Linked DNA regions of Struthio camelus. The protein of the gene in region 1 purifies or fractionates together with the protein of each later gene. This does not show direct contact. Links are inferred from orthologs where the notes say so. Each region holds a gene or a part of one and is shown on either strand. Other genes may lie near its edges. The genes, in order: SDF2 and DNAJB11.

The links.
Region 2: the proteins of SDF2 (region 1) and DNAJB11 purify together in Homo sapiens (affinity purification with mass spectrometry; 3 studies listed by BioGRID and IntAct, counting the BioPlex papers as one, with this or other methods). This does not show direct contact. The link is inferred for Struthio camelus from reciprocal best matches to the Homo sapiens genes SDF2 and DNAJB11.

Annotation. Positions count from the first base shown.
Region 1 is NC_090957.1:16,588,760-16,592,326, reverse strand, and holds SDF2 (stromal cell-derived factor 2), read left to right. Parts: upstream 1-1,118; 5' UTR 1,119-1,152; coding exon 1,153-1,321; intron 1,322-1,438; coding exon 1,439-1,635; intron 1,636-2,314; coding exon 2,315-2,602; 3' UTR 2,603-2,989; downstream 2,990-3,567. Other genes in the region: BLTP2 (bridge-like lipid transfer protein family member 2), read left to right, coding at 3,340-3,407.
Region 2 is NC_090950.1:4,131,078-4,134,979, reverse strand, and holds the start of DNAJB11 (dnaJ homolog subfamily B member 11), read left to right. Parts: upstream 1-1,520; 5' UTR 1,521-1,635; coding exon 1,636-1,817; intron 1,818-2,055; coding exon 2,056-2,212; intron 2,213-3,740; coding exon 3,741-3,838; intron 3,839-3,902. Other genes in the region: TBCCD1 (TBCC domain-containing protein 1), read right to left, coding at 578-727, 845-1,201. UniProt on the Homo sapiens protein: As a co-chaperone for HSPA5 it is required for proper folding, trafficking or degradation of proteins.

The DNA.
Region 1 (3,567 bases):
CACAGGGCACTGCTGCAGGGTCTGCTCTGATGGTCATGCCGGGCCTGGTCGCCCCACGGCAGCACAGCCTCAAGCTGGGGCTCCCGCCCCACAGGGTGCACCTTACCGTGGTGCACGGCTTCAGGGGGCCCACAGGGCTGCCCAGCACCGGGTCCTGCAGCCAGGACCCCATAGCTAGGAAGCGGGGAGAGGTCCCTGCTGCCTTCACCCACAGCTGGACACCAGCAGGGAAGCCACCATCATGACCCCCTGAGTGGGATGTGTAGGGAAGTGTAGGGGTGTGTGGCAGGGGGTCCCCAGCCTTTCCTCCATAACCAAGGACCAGAGTGGGGGTTCATCACCCCCAATCCACAACCAAGGAGACTCCTGCTGCCTTCACCCTCTCCCCCAAAGGGGGATTTAGGGAGGAGACTCCCCACCCTCACCACAACTGGAAACCAGAGGAGGGGGGTGACCCCACTGCCTTTGCCCCATAAGCAGGGCAGAGGAAACCCCCACCCCTGCTCCACAAGCAGGGACAAGGGGGGGTCCCCAGGGCCTGAGCACGGGGAGATCCCCACTGCCTTCGCCCCACAGCCGGGGACAGGGATGGGCATCCACCGCCCCCACTCTACAAGCGGGGGCCAAACAGGTCCCGGTTGCTCTTACCCCACAACTGGGGGGGGGGATGGGCGGTTGCCTCCCTCCCCCCAGCAAGGACCGGGGGAGGAGCCCCTCTACCTTCGCCCCACAACTGGGGTAGGTCGGTCCCGGCTGCCTTCACCCCACAACCGGCGACCGAGGGAGCTTCCCCCCACCCCGGCCGCCGCCCCAAAGGCGGCACCAGCCACAGGCCCCGGGGCGGCCGGAGGAGGCCTCGGCGAGGCCCCGCCGTCAACCCGGCAACCGCCCCCTTCCAGCCCGTACCGGAGCGGCGAGGGGGGGCCGCAGGCCAGCCAAGCGTCCCCCGTCCCCGGCTCCCCGCCGCCTCCTTACCCGCCGCCGCCGCCGCCCGCACTGGCGCCGAGGGAAAATGGAGGCCTCCGCTGCGGCCGAGAGGCAGCCAGAGGGGGGCGGAGCAGACGAGCGCGACCTCCGGCCGGCCGGAGCGGCGTCGCGTTACGTCACGTCCGCTTCCGGCGGCGGCGGCGGCGGGGCGGCAGGGCGGCGAGGATGCGGGCGGCGCGGCGGTTGCTGGCGCTGGTGCTGGTGCTGGGCGCGGCGGCGGCGGCGGCGCGCGGCGGCTCCGCCCCCGGGCCCGTCACCTGCGGCTCCGTAGTGAAGCTGCTCAACGTGCGCCACAACGTCCGCCTCCACTCGCACGACGTGCGCTACGGATCCGGTAACGCCCCTCCCCCACCTTCACCGGGAGGGCCTGGCCCTTCCCGGCAGCCCCCGCGGCGGAGCCTGGCTCCGGTTCCGGTCCCGGTCGGCGCTGACCCGCCGTTCCCCTCCGCAGGCAGCGGGCAGCAGTCGGTGACCGGCGTGTCGGCGGCGGACGACGGCAACAGCTACTGGCGGGTGCGGGGCCGCACGGCGGCGGCGTGCGAGCGGGGCGCGCCGGTGCGCTGCGGCCAGGCCATCCGCCTCACGCACGTCGGCACCGGCCGCAACCTGCACAGCCACCGCTTCACCTCGCCGCTCTCCGGCAACCAGGTGCGGCCCAGGTGCGGCCGCGTCCCGCCTCCACCGGCGCCCCTCTGGGTCTGGGACCGGAGGGATCGGGGTGGGGGGGGATCCCTGCCGTGGCACCGGGCGGCCCCGGGAGCCCTGGGGCTAGACCCCTTCCCCACCGGGGGGAGGGGGGATCCCTGCCATGATACCGGGAGCCCTGGGGCCAGACCCTTTCCCCACCGGGGCGGGGGGGGGGGGATCCGTGCTGTGACACCGGGAGCCCTGGGGCCAGACCCCTTCCCTCCAGGAGGGGAATCCCTGCCGTGACACCGGGTGCAGCCCGGCTCTGCGGTCATGGAGGGACACGGCAGGAGGAGCGACAGCAGCCCAGGCATCCGCAGCAGCCGTCCCCTGCCGTGACCACGCAGCGGGTCCCCGTGCTGGGCTGGGGATCCCCTAAAACATGGGGACGGGGGCCACGCCGGGTCTCCGAGTCCCCGGTTCCGCCGTGCTCCGGCTGTGCGAGCCACGGCAGGGAGGCGCAAACCTGTGCTCTGAACCTCTGCAGAGATCCCCGCTGACCTCTCCGCTCAGCATTACACAGGGTGCTTTTTATTTTTAGGCGAATACACAGTCAATGCCAATAATGGGCGTTTTTTCACCGTCCCTGTGGGGGCAGCGCGGGCCAAGGCCACCCGCCTGACAGCTGCCCTCGTTGCAGGAGGTGAGCGCCTTCGGGGAGGACGGCGAGGGCGACTACCTGGACGACTGGACCGTGGTGTGCAGTGGGACCTACTGGGCGCGGGACAGCGAGGTGCGCTTCAAGCACACCTCCACCGACGTCTTCCTCTCCGTGACAGGGGAGCAGTACGGGCGGCCCATCCACGGCCAGAAGGAGGTGCACGGCATGGCCTCCCCCAGCCAGAATAACTACTGGAAGGTCATGGAGGGCATCTTCATGCAACCCAGCGAGCTGCTGAAGGTGCAGCAGTATCACGCCGAGCTGTGACAGACTGGGGTGGAGCCTCCGGGGCTCTGCTGCGTGGTGTCGGGGACCGCCGAACCCCGGATGTCCCTTGGGATGGGCACAAGCCCTGTCCAGGCTGGGCACAGGCCACAGAGCAGTGCTCAGCGCCCCTCGGTTATTCGGTCTTTGTAACTTGTGACTGTCTGCGATGCCGGGTTCTGCCCCTTGCCGCGGGGCTCGGCGGTCACTGGTCCCCGGCGGAGGCGCTGAGACGAACGGGAACGCGAGAGAAGAGGACCTGCTGAACGCCGCGCGTTCCAACAGCTTGGCGCCGGCCTGTTGTCACCACGCGACCCCTCTGTAGCTCCCCGCTCTCGGTACGGGGAGGCTCCGCGCGGGTTTGGGACCATAAAGAAATTGAACTCTTCAGGGCTGTGCGGTCGTTTGTGTGCGTGCCCTGGCTGCGCGGGGAGCACCCCTGCCCTCTCCGGAGCGTCCCGGCCCGTTCCGGAGCACCCCTTGCCTGCACCGGGGCTCCGGAGCATCCCCTGCCCGCCGCGGGCTGCCGGCGGCGCTGCGCAGCGCCGAGCACCGCGTGGGGCGCTGCCGCTCACTCCGCGCTAGCGCCGCTCGGCCGCGCCGCCCTGCCCGGCCCCGCCCCTCGCCTCCCAGCGGCCACTCCGGGTGCGCGGGCGGTCGGCCCCGCAGGGCGGCTCGGCGCCCGGTTACCGGACGGCGGGGAGCGGCGGCGCCGGGCCGGGCCGAGGCGGGGGGCAGCCATGTCGCCGCTGCCCGCCGCGCTGCTCGGCCTCGCCGTCGTGGCGCTGCTCGCTGGGCTGCTGGCGCGGTCAGGGCCCGCGGGCTGAGCGGGGCGGCGGCGGGTTGGGGCGGCGGGGCCGGGAAGGGGCTCAGAGCGGGGCCTGGGGGGGGGCCCTAGGGCTGGGGCTGGGGGTGGCGGGAGTGGGAAGGGGCTCACGGCGGTTTGGGGGGGCTCTGGGGCTGGGTGT
Region 2 (3,902 bases), on another chromosome or scaffold:
TGTAATTCACTCTCAAATACAGAGCAGACCATGAACTGCAGCTGACGTATCCAGCTTACTTCTCCTATTTAGGAACACTTGATGTGGGACATCATCATCTTCACGTGACGGATCTACAGTTGACCAGCCACTCCATCTCTCTGCAATACAACTTAATGACATTTTCCTAAACACCGCTTTGGAATTCTAATAATTTAACGCAGATCGTGGGAAAGCAGCCTTCAACGTAAGAAAAGCCTCCTGCTTGGCTGGCTACACCCCTCTAACAGAAAAACCAAAGAAGCTGTTGCTGCTTAGAAGGAGAATTAGGAAGACTCAGAAAAAATTTTCAGTTAGTCTCAGACCACAGGAAATTTCAGCAGGCAAGTGTCACCGTTTCATAAGTTAAAGCGATAGAGAACATATCGGTTTCATCTCATTTACCGTGCTGAGACGTAGCTCAAATTTGACTTGCAGAAATGCTTCAGGCAGGGTACGCTCTCCCAGCAACAAACGGGATGCTCTTCAGCCCGCCTCCAGGGGAGGCGGCCGTTTTCTCACGGAGCAACCTCAGGAGACCCCCCACGCCCCCAAATACCTTATTTTGACTGGCAGACTTCCCAGTCAGGTCGGGAGACTTGGTCCTGGGGCTGGGCCACTCCTCGCCGATCAGGGACGTTCTCAGAGAAACCTTGTTCAGTTGCTGGATGTACAAAAACAGCAGGAACTGCAGGGTGTCTACTGACAACTACCCAAGGAGGAGGGGGGGAGGGAGAAACAAAACACAGGTTAAGAGGCGCTGCCCGTCACCCACGACCGCCCGGCCCGGCCCGGGGAGGGGGCTGGGAGAGGGGACCCCCCCTGCCTTGCTGCGCTGCCGCTCCAGCTGGTCGGCGCTGGCGCAGGCCGCCTCCGCCTCGGCCCGCTGGAGGCGGCGCGGCGGGTCGCGCCGGGCCAGGCTGTCGAAGAGCTCGAAGTAGAGCCAGGCCAGGCCGCGGCCCAGCTGCAGCTTCCCGCAGGCGATGTGGCGCCAGCGCGGCCAGGCCAGGCGCGGGAAGCAGCCGTCGGCGGCCCGCGCCCGAGCGTACGCCGCCATCTTGCGCAGGTAGTGGCGGCCCAGCTTGGCGGGCGGCGGCGCCCGCACGGCCCCCAGCAGGAACGGCTCCGTCTTCACCCACAGCCGCGCCGGGCCCGCCGCCGCCGCCGCCGCAGCCGCCTCCATGGCGGCCTCCCCCGTCAGGCGAGGCAAGGCGAGGCGCCGCCCAGAGCGCCCACCGCCCGGAGGACTGCGCGCGGCGCTCCGCCCTCTTCGCCGAGGAGCCGGCTGCCATTGGCGAGCCGAGCGGGCGCGGAGGCGGAACGAACGCCGCCACCTCTGATTGGTTACGGCCCTTCGCCGGCCTCGCTCTAGGCTTGGCAACTTCCGCCCGCGCCGACGCTCTGCCCTCCGGAGCTGCGATAGGGCAGGGGCGGCGTGACGTTGCCAGCCGCCATTGGGCCGGCCGGCCGGGCGCTGATGTCTTGGCAGCCGATTGGCCGGCGGCGCCGAGCCGGTGGTGAAGTGTGCGCGGCCGATAGGCCGGCGGCGCGCGGGGTGGGCGCGCTGTGCCGCGCTCCTATTGGCCAGCGGCCGTCGCCGGGCTCCGCTTCATATCTATGGTGAGCGGAGCGGGCGGCTGCGGTGCTGCGGGCCGCGGCCGGAGAGCGCCGCCTTCCCCCCCGGCTCCCAGCGGCTGCGGGCGGGCGCGCCGGCAGCCAGGCCGCGCTGCCATGTCCCCCGCCTCGCTCGGCCGCCTCTGCCTGCTGCTGCTCTGCGTGTGCGGCGAGGCCGCCGCCGGGTGAGTCCGCCGGGGCCGGGCCCGGCCCTCCCCGCTCCCCTCAGCGCAGGGCCCGCGCGCGCCCCCCCCCCCCACAACGCGGGCCTGTGCTCGCGCCCCCCCCCCCACGCGCTCCCCCCCCCACGCGCGGCTCTGTGCGCATGCGCCCTCCCCCGCCGGGGCGACCGGCCCTGGGGCGGCGGCGCTGACGGGTCCCCCCCGCTCTGCCCCGTTTCCCCCCCCCCCCCGCCCCCACCAGGAGGGACTTCTACAAGATCCTGGGGGTGTCCCGCGGCGCCTCCATCAAGGACATCAAGAAGGCCTACCGGAAACTGGCGCTGCAGCTGCATCCCGACAGGAACCCCGACGACCCCCGGGCGCAGGAGAAGTTCCAGGACCTGGGCGCTGCCTACGAGGTGAGCCCGGGTGCCCCCCCGCCGCCCTGCCCAGCGGGATGCTCCCCAGGCCTGCTGTAGCTGCTGCAAAAGGGAGGGGCGAGAGGCAAGGTGCAGTCGCGTGTGCTCTAGATGGCTCGAGATAACCTTAATACGCCCTCCCGAGGGCCTTCCCGGACAGGTGGGGTTCACGGGGAAGCAAGCTCCAGGCGTGAAGCCTCTTATGGCCAACAGGCTCTCTGCTGTGGTTTCCTCTCCATAAGATTCAGAGGAACGAGAAAGAACTGAGCCCATCTTACACCTTCAAGGAGGGCTTCCTAGGAAGCGCTAGTACCTGGTGCGATCCCTCCTCCTTCTCCTATTACAAAATGGTATCAAGTCCCAGATGCTGCATCTAATAAAGGACAAAGGCAGAGAAGCTGCCAGTGTGGTGAGAGAACTTACTTTGTTGGAGGAAAGCATACAAAAGCCATAGCTCGCTTAACCAGAGGAAAACAAGGGCAGAAAGTTCAAGTTCTTTGTTTACCCCACACTAAACCATAAATGTTAAGGACGAAAGAAAGCTGCCTCAGCTGGAAGCACTGGCACAGGAACAATCTGTCTATATGTATAGATGGGCTGTGAGTAAATTTTGGCTCATGTGAGATGAAAGGTTTTGAGCTTGCCTTTTACTAGGCATGTTAAAGTTGGGAAAATAATTGTTATGGTAGGGAATCAAATGTGTTAGGAACTTTCTCGTTTCTGTGATAATTTGATAATGTAATATTCTCTTAACTTTAGGTATTAATGCATTACATAAACCATCACCCTTTAGCTAGCAGAGTTGCTTCTTCCCTTGTTTCTGCTCTTCGCCAGCTTTCTGGAAGCTGGCCTGACAGTTTTAGTCTTCCAAAATATAATCAGCAGGTCAAGTCAGGGAGGAAAGGGAAGGAAGACTAAATCTGATCCAGGAACTTACGCATCTCGGGACGCACAGCAAAGACCACATACTGAGAAACGGTACCTGCATTGGGGTACTTAATTCTGTCTTAATACTGAAGTTACTTCTTGCTGACTTCTGCTCCCCTTTAGGAACGAGGGCCAGCGTTCTTGCTGTCGCAGAGTTACCATATTTGGCAGGTACAGCTTGGTGGGCAAACTTGCCATCGTTGTTCACAGTTATACAATACTCTTTGAAGAAATAGTCGTTTTGTATGTGCCTGAAGAACAAGAGTAGTATTACACAGCTTTCTGTGGAGTGTTCTGCTTCATAGGGCTGATTCGAATTATTATCCCCGTTTGATTCTTTTTCAAGTCACTATGGTAAACTCTGTACTGTTTGTATTTTGTGTGTTTTGCTTTTGCTGTTCCAATAAGCTAATTCTAGGTTTTAGCTACTAAATATTTAACTTTCCAGTCCACTTCAGCAAGCAAGTTCTAGCCAACACTTCTGTAATGTGCTACATGCTGCTGCTTGTCCTTCAGTTAAGAGAACTGGCAAGGTTCATCTCAAAGGCTTGTTTAAATAACCTGGTTCAGCTGTAGATGAGTGTCTTGTCCCTTTGCCCAGGTGCTGTCGGACGAGGAGAAGAGGAAGCAATATGATGCATATGGCGAAGAGGGATTGAAGGATGGGCACCAGAGTTCCCATGGAGACATCTTCTCACAGTAAGGAGGCTTTGTTCCTTTAGGCTATTGTGTAGTCAGAGCTCTAACTGTATGTTAAGGTCTT